2 linked regions of the Arabidopsis thaliana genome follow. The protein of the gene in region 1 interacts with the protein of each later gene in a pairwise test. Each region holds a gene or a part of one and is shown on either strand. Other genes may lie near its edges.

Region 1 (4,786 bases):
AATTAAACATCTTTTGAGGTCTCCTACTGTTTATACGTTATATACTTGTTTCTTCGCGTAATACATTGGACACACATACTCTTATTAAGTGACGTGCAAAAGAGGAAACTAATTAACTCCATTTTTTCAATATCTTCCTATTATTTACATATTAAAAATAAAGATATAAGTAGAATTGTCAACAAATCAATATATTGAATATAAAGTAATTAAAATTACTAAAGTATCCCTAGGCCTAGAGAATTTTGATTTGCCAGAAATGTTGCTTTGAGGAAGAAGTGTTGTGTCTGCTCAATTGCTTAATTGAGGGATTAAAGGACCTTAACAACCAGTTGGTGACTACCCAATTTCCTTACTTGGAACGAAAAAATCCAATTAGTTGACTAACAAATAAACATATTTTCTTAAATAATCAAGTGATTCATTTGACCTACATGAAGAAAATGTATTTATACGCAAAACAATAAAATGAAAAGAAAAGTTATGATGGGTCGATTCCATGTCCCAAAGGATCTAAGGAGGTTGTGTAATAAATAATAGAAAAAGTAGAATTCGAAAGAAGATGATGAAAAATGAAATAAATAAGGTAGCTGTGTCGGACGCGAAGTTGGTGAAAGTGGCCAAAAACGAAAGACTTGGACGCCAATTTGTTTCGTAGAGACGTTCCTTAACGGAACGAAGCTAACGGCTTTGTGTCCATCTTAATAAATGTTATTCTTATTTCAATTTCTGTATATTTCGTTTATTTCTTTTATTCTTTAATGTTTTTTTTTGTTTTTGGTTGAGTTTCGGTTTTGTCATAGATTGGAACAGCCGACACAAACCTTTCAAGGAGAATCAATGTGTTACAACAAATTCTTTTTTTATGAAATTTTATATATTTATGAGTAGATTATTTGTTTGTTTTTAAATGTACAACTGATAAACCCTACACACAGCTGGTTGAATATGGGAGTATATACAGTGGGAAAGTTTGAAAGGATCAAATATTTTTAACTTTCTAAAATAGGTTAAATGAATGTGGTTTTCTAAAGCTATTTATGATGAGTATTCTTATGAATAATAATATTATACATATCGTGAGTATATAATTTGAAGAAGATGATGAATCGATGATGAGTGATGATGATAGTGCTAAATGAGGAAATGACGAGTAAGAAATCAACAGCTTTTGTTTGGACAAAAAGCTTTTTGTACACCTAGCTATATGGTATGACAGCTAATAATAATTAATATCCTTAAGATATAATTAATCGCAGTTGTTAATCATAAATAGTCGGACCGTTTAACCACATGAGTTTTTCCTATTTTCAAGAGCAATCTGGTTAAACTACATGTAAATGGCAACAAAGTAAGAGTTTATGGTACGGTTAATTAGATGTTCCCAGGTAAATAGTAATACTACAGTTCACAGATTAATATGAGTTTTGCGTTACACTCAAGTCTCTATCTGTATAGCGTTTGAGAAATTATATATGCACGATCCACAATTTATGATCATAAATATTTTGTATTTAAACTAACAAGGGAAATATTGTTGTTCTTGCCATAAAGATTGATTCCACCAGTGAAAATACATTTTCAAAACATAAAATAACGTAGCACACAGTAAATTTTCAGTGCATGAGATGTGAAAGTCATTAGTATCTTAAACCTCATTAATCGTGATACAAACTAAAAGTGGAGACTGGAGTTTCTATGTTAATGAACATAATTGCCTTTTTAGAGCCCATAATAATATGCGGGTTTAAGTGGCCCAGAGGGATTAAAAACGGCAAGACGTTCTTCCAATAACGGCGTGCACTGTGAAACCTTTAAAGATCAAAATTTTCTTTCAAGGTTCTTCTCAGTATAACTCACTTTACAGTTCTACTCAGAGATCCAATTTCTTGCCCATTCTCGTCTCGAATTTGATTTTCAAAGGTTTGATTTTTGAGATCTTTAGCTTAGTTTCGACGAGTCATTTGCGAAGATCTAGACTATTGAAAACCTTAGGATGTGTCTTTAGCAAAGGAAAACAATGGTCAAAGCGTCGACGATGCAAAGGAAGAGATGGGCACTGATGGTTTTGTTGTTTCTATCTGTATCAACAGTGTGTATGATTCTCGTGAGATCTAGCTTTGAAACCTGTAGCATTAGTAGCCAATTCGTGGAAGAAAAGAATGGAGAAAGCAGCGCCGCGAAGTTTCAATCGAATCCTCTAGATTTCATGAAATCGAAGCTCGTTTTGTTAGTATCCCACGAGCTATCACTCTCAGGTTCTGCTGATTTGATTTCTAATTTGATCTGGGTTCTCGAAAAAATCATACTTTTTTGAGGTGATGATTGATTTTGTGTGACAAAAGGTGGACCTTTGCTATTGATGGAATTGGCGTTTTTGTTAAGAGGAGTTGGTGCTGACGTTGTTTGGATCACTAATCAAAAGCCACTTGAAGATGATGAAGTTGTCTATAGTCTTGAACACAAGATGTTGGATCGAGGAGTTCAGGTTCTCTCGTAGTTCCTACCAATAGACTTCAGAGTTTGTTGGAAAGATGTTGTCTTGAGCTCTGTTAATTGACAAGTTCTTATTTTTGGTATCTGACTTCAGGTTATCTCTGCAAAGGGTCAGAAAGCTGTAGATACATCTCTCAAGGCTGATTTGATTGTTCTTAATACTGCTGTGGCTGGGAAATGGCTTGATGCTGTTCTAAAAGAAAATGTTGTTAAAGTTCTACCTAAGATCCTATGGTGGATTCATGAGATGAGAGGACACTATTTCAATGCTGATTTGGTCAAACACCTCCCCTTTGTTGCAGGGGCCATGATTGATTCGCATGCAACAGCTGGATACTGGAAAAACAGAACACAAGCTCGCCTAGGGTATGTTTCCTCTTTGCACCTCCTGCTTCATGTGAATGATATACAGAAAACTAAGATATTTGTGTATAGTCTTGCCTCATTTCAGCTGGATTCACCTGTTTTTTCTTCTTAAAGATTAACATTGTTTTATGACTATTGATATACAGGATTAAAATGCCCAAAACTTACGTTGTGCACCTAGGAAATAGCAAGGAATTGATGGAAGTAGCTGAAGATAGTGTTGCCAAGAGAGTTCTCCGTGAGCACGTCCGAGAATCTCTTGGAGTGCGGAATGAAGACTTACTCTTTGGCATTATTAATAGTATGCCATCATTTTTTTAAGTCTTTCTTTTTCTCTGTTTTCTGACGAGCATCATCATCTTTTAAGGAGTAAGAGTTCACGCGTCACCAATGAATTTACTTTAAGTTTGTTACTATTTCCAGGTGTATCGCGTGGAAAAGGCCAGGATCTGTTCCTCCGAGCCTTCCACGAAAGTCTTGAAAGAATCAAAGAGAAGAAACTTCAGGTACCAACAATGCATGCAGTAGTAGTAGGAAGCGACATGAGCAAGCAGACAAAGTTCGAGACAGAGCTACGCAACTTTGTCCGAGAAAAGAAACTTGAGAACTTTGTCCACTTCGTCAACAAAACTCTAACCGTAGCACCATATATAGCAGCCATAGACGTTCTTGTCCAAAACTCCCAAGCCAGAGGAGAATGCTTTGGGAGAATAACAATCGAAGCCATGGCCTTTAAGCTACCTGTACTTGGTACTGCAGCCGGAGGAACAATGGAGATTGTAGTGAATGGAACGACTGGTCTGTTACATAGTGCAGGGAAAGAAGGAGTGATACCTCTCGCCAAGAACATAGTGAAGTTGGCGACGCAAGTTGAGTTACGGCTGAGAATGGGAAAAAATGGGTATGAGAGAGTAAAAGAGATGTTTTTGGAACATCATATGTCACATCGAATAGCTTCGGTACTCAAAGAAGTCTTGCAACACGCAAAGGCTCGTGCTTTACGATGAGATCACTAGAATGTTGTAAAATGTTTCTTGATCTCTCTTACTTATTCTGTTCATAGAAAATTACAAATACTACCCAAAGGAAAGGTGTTTTTTTTTTTTTTGTGTATGATGTTTTAAATTTCGAAATACGAGTTGAGATGAGTTTTACTGCTAAAATCTGAAAGTAAAGTGCCGTATTCTTGTGTCATATAATGTGTGAATCTCCAGGAATTAAACTGATAAAACCAAAACGTTTGGGGTCGAAAGTGGATCAATCAAAGCTAGTTTCTGGAACCCGAGTTACTCTTTATAATATTGGTGCATCGGCATGGTAGAGATGTTAGCTACTCAGATCTTGGTGATTTATCTAAACAAATCAGAGACCTAAGACATTACATTGAACTTCCTCTCACAAATCCTGAAATTTTTCAACGAGCAACGAGTTGGTGTTAAACTTCCCAAGTTTTGGATTGATTTGTTGTTTTGATTTTGATTTCAATTGTTCCGCAAGAAACAGGTTCATTGTGTTTGACCTAACGATTTCATCAAGGTAAGTACGTTTCTGCTTATTGTGATGTTTTTTTTATGTTTGGATTATTTGTTGCAATCTTCATCTTATGATCAATACTAAAACACGTTTTCAGGCTGTAACAAAACTAGGCGAAGCAAGGAAACTTGAGTCCAGTGCAAGTACAATGCAGATTTCGGAAAAGAGTAAAGATAGGAACATACAAAAGAAGGGATAAAAAGACTAAGAATCATCAAAAGAAGTAGAAGAAGAAGAAGAAGAACCTCTGTTCTGTTTTTATCTTCTTTTTTTTCAGTTAGTTTGAATCATCATTGGCTTCTCTTTGCATTGATTCATCTAAGGAATCTCCAAATTCCTCTCTATACATCTCTTCTATCATCGGTTTCCAGAGTCGAACTCGAGCATTTAT
Region 2 (5,757 bases), on another chromosome or scaffold:
TGCAAGACCAATTCAAGTTTGTATTATTAGGTATTATTTATCTAATTAACGAAATATCAAATGAGGGCGTTTGGTCTAGTGGTATGATTCTCGCTTTGGGTGCGAGAGGTCCCGAGTTCGATTCTCGGAACGCCCCATTTGTATTTTTTATGTTCACACTCTTTTTGCCACTCTTTTTGCCAAATAGTCCATTTTTCCCAAAAGATCCATAACTTTAAGAACATGTAATCATTAACCAAAGTTAGTTATTCTTGGTGAATCTAGTTGACTTTGGGAGAGGAGAAAGAACCGATTTTAGTTATTCTTCCCCATTATTGAAGTCTAGTTCTCGGCCAAATATTCAACAACAAAAAATTGACTATTGTGAAAATTAGGCTTGTTTTGAAATAGGTCTAACTTAAGATATTAACCATAAATTCGGTTATTGTATTGTTGTTTGGTACAATGTAAACCGGTTACTAAACCGGAACACTCTACATATAAAGAGTGTTTCATGTAACAGAACAATTAAGAAGAATAACAAATTTTTCTCATCTTCTTCATTTCTCTGAATTCGTTCATCAACTATTATGGTATCAGAGTGATGGATCTCGAAGATTCATCCGATTCAACCTAAACTCTGAGTATCTTCGAGCTCTTGGATCTTCCAAACTCGTTGATTCTTTGTTTCTTCAATTTTCTACGTTTTCTGGAAAATTTCAGTTGTTTAGAGCTTCGTTGATCTTGCGATGGTTTCCGTAGAGAAATTGCGGCGTCGTACTAGAAGATCGAGCAAAACTTCAGCTGAGAAAACTCCAGATCGTGTTCAAGCTTCACCGATTCCACCGATTCCACCAATTTCGAATCCGTTTCAACAAAATTTCAATTCAAAACCATCGATCTATCCTTTACCACAGTTCGACTTCTCGGATGCTCATTATTCGCCATTCGCGCTCTCAAATGGTGAGTCCTGGGAATACACTTGTTTCTGAGGTACTTGATGGATCTAATTTCTCTTCTTGGAAGATTGCGATGTTTGTTTCTTTGAACGTTAAGAATAAGATTGCTTTTGTTGATGGAACTTTACCAAGACCTCCTGAATCTGATCCTAGCTTTAGAGTGTGGTCACGATGCAACAGTATGGTTAAATCTAGGATCCTTAATTCTGTTACAAAGCAGATCTATAAGAGTATACTTCGTTTCAATGATGCTGCAGAGATCTGGAAAGACTTGGATACTAGATTTCACATTACGAATTTGCCAAGGTCTTATCAGCTAACTCAGCAGATTTGGTCACTTCAAAGTTTTGCTTTCAATGATATCTCTTTCTCACCTTCGACTTTATGGTTACTATGTTCTCTAACGTCCTCTAGACAAGTGTTATCACAAAATACATGGATCATAGATAGTGGTGTTACTCATCATGTTTCTTATGATAGGAATATGTTTGAAAGCCTATCTGATGGTTTAAGATTAGTCCATTTCTAATTTTCTACTAAGATATATTTTTTCCAACTCAAAGTGAAAAAATTGCGAATAGTATAAATATACAATTGTTTATTAAATATTGATGTTCTTAATATTATTACATAAAAATAATTTTTTATATGTAATAGTATTTTTAGAAAATTTGGTTTCTCTTTTTTTTTTTAATAATAAAACTAAACAGTCTCTAAAAATTTATATTCGGTTTGCTTAATGTTAATTTTGTTGTTAACCAAAACTTCGCACCTCCCTTACTTATCCAATTATCAACATTTAATATTTGTTTACATTTATACAATTATCCAATTTATTTACAGCAATTTTTCCGAATTAGTATTCGACTGTTATTGGTGAAATTCGAGCTGGTTAATAATATTTATCAAAAATAAGTTTCTATAAATAAATCAAATTAAAAATGTTTCTTATTTTAAGTTTTTTGACCGTTCGCGTGTCATGTTACGACTACCGGCGTCTATGGAGAAATCACCGCAAAATTTATAGAGAGAGTAAAACGAAAGAGAAGAAAAAAAGGAAAACGAAAAAAAAACGTTTCTTTTTCCAGAGAGGTCTTAAGAGAGAGGAGAGAGAAAAGGCATCGCTTTGTATATAAGCTAAAGAAAAGCCAAAAAACAATCTAGAGGTTGGGAGAAGAAGAAGAAGAAAAGAGAAGAAGCTCTTGTTATCCCGGCGTTCTTAAAACAACGACGGCGACGGTGACGGCTAAGCGGAAGAGCTTTTGTTGCCAATGACGGACTCTTACGGCGCCGTCTCCGTCGACGTTGGAACAATCTATCTTGGTGGCAAGGTTTCATTCTTTAACCTTTGAACTCGGATCCGAATAAAGCTTTGATTTTTGTTTCTGGGTTTATCTTAAACTTGCTTAAATCTAATCTTTCTGTTGATTTGGGGAAGAACAGACATGTGGGCATTGTTAGATTCATTTGTTTTTGTAAAAAAAAGACTCATCTTTTGTTTGAATCAAATGTTCTTGGAGAAATTCTTTGCTTGTGGATTTGTGAAACTTCTTTTATTATTATGATTCATTTCCAGATGGGATTATTCTTGGGATCTTCTTCTTCTCTCTATTCAAAGATATCTTCTTCTTATTATTATTTTGTATTCCTTATTCTTTGTCTTATTGCCTTTTGATTTTTTTATCTTATAGAAAAAAGAAAAGAAAATGCCAGCTGTTTTTGTCTACCATTAACCTTTTGTTTAATAAGACTAATGCTTCTTTATTATCTCATTAAGACTCATATTAGCTCATCTTTTTTAAACTGTCATTCCCTTTTTATTAAAAAAAAACCACAATGATTAGAATTAGGCCATTTCTCTTTGGTTGTTGATGATCAAGTTTTTGGTTTTGTTTTTTTGCCCTTAAAAGTAGTAAAGCTGCACATGGAAAAGCTTTAACAGAGATGTTTTCTTTTTTGTGTGTGTGTTAATCAAAGCATTTCTTTTCCACCTAAAGTCAGTTGTCATATTCCTATCTTTAGTATACATTTACTAACGAGAAAATAGATTCATTGTTTACAAACACATGTTTTATGAATATGGAGTAGACAAATGGTATGGTTAAAAGTTTAGTTTTTTTCTGTTGGTTTCATGATCCGTTACTTTTGTTATAACTTGTTGGTTTCTTGTGTTCAGGAGCATCGTGTTAAAACTGCTAGTGGTGTTGTGTCTGTCATTGTCTATGGAGACAGAGAAAAGCCAGCATTGATTACTTATCCTGATTTAGCCCTAAACCGTAAGGCTAAAGAATCTCTATAGGCACTAATGTAATGGCTAAATTTATTAATGTTTTTGTTGTTTCTTCTTCAGATATGTCATGCTTCCAAGGGTTATTCTTCTGTCCTGAAGCAGCTTCATTGCTGCTTCATAACTTCTGCATTTACCATATCAGTCCACCTGGGCATGAGGTCCAATATTTTAGTTTCTCTTTTTTTAACTTGCCGTATGCTTTGCTTGACGTGATTACTTACTCACATGACTTCTCTGTTTTCTTGCAGTTAGGAGCTGCTCCAATTTGTCCTAATGATTCAGTCCCTTCTGCTGAAAACTTGGCAGATCAGATCCTTGAAGTTCTCAACTTTTTCGGGTAACGATGGAATCCCTTATTTTTGGCTTATTGAAGTTCTCAACTTTTGTTTTTCGGGTAACAATGTATAAGCTTTTTGTTCAGCCTTGGTGTTGTGATGTGTATGGGAGTGACTGCAGGTGCTTATATCCTCACCTTATTCGCGGTATGTTCCTATTTATTTTTCTCTTCTCATTGCCCATTGCTTCAGAAGAATACTGTGTTTATCATCTCTTCTATGTTTTAAAACTTTTCAGATGAAACATAGAGAACGGGTTCTTGGTTTGATTCTTGTCTCACCGTTATGCAAGGCGCCGTCTTGGTCTGAATGGTTTTACAACAAGGTTATCACAAACTTGTTATATTATTACGGAATGTGTGGAGTGGTAAAGGAATTTTTGCTTCAGAGATATTTTAGTAAGGTGTGTTCACTGCAGTTACCATTGCTCTCTCTCTGCACTTGTTGCATTTCCAGACTTCTCTTATTTAAACCGGTTGCAACTGCTTGCTACAGGAAGTCCGTGGTAACGTTGAGATTCCAGAGTCAGATATAGCACAAGCTTGCAGAAGAGTCAGTGTTTATCTCTTCTGTTGTTTTTCTGTTTCATCAATAGATTGATTTTACTGTATCAGTGATTCACACCTTGCACTTTTGGTGATTGTCTCAGCTGCTTGATGAAAGACAAGGCATAAACGTTTTGCGATTTCTTGACGCCATTGACCGGTAACACAACAAACACCTCGAAATCCTTTACCTTAGAAGCATTCATTCATTCATGGTGTCAAATATTGACTTTTCTTTAACTTTATGCAAACCAAACCTTTGCTCTTGCAGGAGACCTGACATCTCAAGTGGATTGAAGAAACTAAAATGCAGGACACTTATCTTCATCGGAGATCAATCTCCTTTCTACTCAGAAGCTGTTCACATGGCAGCAACTTTGGATAGAGGATACTGTGCTTTGGTTGAGGTTTGAGAAAACGAATCCTCATCCTTTGTACTTTACATATAAACACATGTTTGGTTTTCTTGCTACTAATAGATGTTTTCTTGGAAATATTATCAGGTTCAGGCTTGTGGTTCAATGGTAACAGAGGAGCAACCACATGCAATGTTGATCCCAATGGAATATTTCTTGATGGGTTACGGATTATACAGACCATCTCTTTTCTCCGAGAGCCCTAGAAGTCCACTTAGCCCTTCTTGTATTTCACCTGAGCTTCTCTCTCCTGAAAGCATGGGATTAAAGCTTAAGCCTATCAAAACCAGAATTTCGGCGGCTTAAGTGTGTGTGCACTACTGATTCATTGGTTCTAATTTTGCTGAGGAGAAGAAATCTTAGGGCTTTTGTAGATATAGAACAATACTAGGGAGATTTGAGAAGAAGAAGACGAAGAAGAAAAATTCAAGCCACCATCATATAACACATTCTTTTGTAGTCAGCCGACACGACAGTTCTCTTGTTAAGATGCCACAAAATGTTGTTTATTATTTCATTTTTTTATACATATGTAAAATGTTCTGTTCTTGTGACATTGTAACAATTGTTTTGTGACGAACTCTGCAGAAGCAAGTAATAAAATTCATTTTGCATTTTGTTTTTGGTTCTCTAATTGGCCTTACAAGCACATTGATTTCACCAAGTTAGAATCTGGTTTTTGCTTAATATTGATATTTAATGGTTTAACAGTCTTGATCCTGAACTATTTGGATCATCAGATTGAAACTTTTTAGTCTGAATTGAATTGTAAATGGAAATGGAGACCAATCCTTCTTTGCAGAAGCCGTAAGTTATATACTGATATAAGATACGCATAAGGATTAGTTGCGGTTGACGAAAACATAGTCCCTCATGAACCGGGGTAAAGGCGAAGAATGCTTCACTTAGTCTGAACAAGTTCAATGCTCCTCGATGTTTGTCAAGCCCGTAAAATGGATGCAGACAAGTGTAAATCCGAGCCAAACCCGAATACAAAGTAGAAGAAGTGTATAAACTCTTGGATAACTAATGATTGAATAATAACATCAAATTAAGGCCATTTCTTGTATTGAACATCGTAAGATGTTTTGTAAATTACAAATACAACAAAGCTCACTTACCTCAGCACCTCTCTATAAGCGAATGGTCAGAAAGTTTTTCACTTTCAAAACCACAGAAACAATTATAACAACAACTTTATATGATGTAATCTGACCATTCCGAGATGAATGA

Evidence for each region.
Region 2: the proteins of AT1G75420 (region 1) and NDL1 interact in a two-hybrid assay, tested with the Arabidopsis thaliana proteins (one large-scale study listed by BioGRID).

What each region holds. Positions count from the first base shown.
Region 1 is NC_003070.9:28,303,449-28,308,234, forward strand, and holds AT1G75420 (UDP-Glycosyltransferase superfamily protein), read left to right. Parts: upstream 1-1,769; 5' UTR 1,770-2,020; coding exon 2,021-2,258; exon of another isoform or gene 2,259-2,345; coding exon 2,346-2,488; intron 2,489-2,590; coding exon 2,591-2,862; intron 2,863-3,008; coding exon 3,009-3,163; intron 3,164-3,285; coding exon 3,286-3,869; 3' UTR 3,870-4,100; downstream 4,101-4,786. Other genes in the region: BLH11 (BEL1-like homeodomain 11), read right to left, coding at 4,673-4,786.
Region 2 is NC_003076.8:22,955,777-22,961,533, forward strand, and holds NDL1 (N-MYC downregulated-like 1), read left to right. Parts: upstream 1-1,852; 5' UTR 1,853-2,209; coding exon 2,210-2,269; intron 2,270-2,732; exon of another isoform or gene 2,733-3,030; coding exon of another isoform or gene 3,031-3,033; intron 3,034-3,114; coding exon 3,115-3,214; intron 3,215-3,288; coding exon 3,289-3,386; intron 3,387-3,476; coding exon 3,477-3,565; intron 3,566-3,649; coding exon 3,650-3,710; intron 3,711-3,801; coding exon 3,802-3,966; intron 3,967-4,058; coding exon 4,059-4,115; intron 4,116-4,212; coding exon 4,213-4,268; intron 4,269-4,379; coding exon 4,380-4,515; intron 4,516-4,611; coding exon 4,612-4,830; 3' UTR 4,831-5,140; downstream 5,141-5,757. Other genes in the region: SERAT1;1 (serine acetyltransferase 1;1), read right to left, coding at 5,722-5,757. UniProt on the Arabidopsis thaliana protein: Interacts with the heterotrimeric G protein beta subunit GB1 and plays an significant role in GB1-dependent regulation of lateral root formation. Involved in a signaling pathway that modulates root auxin transport and auxin gradients.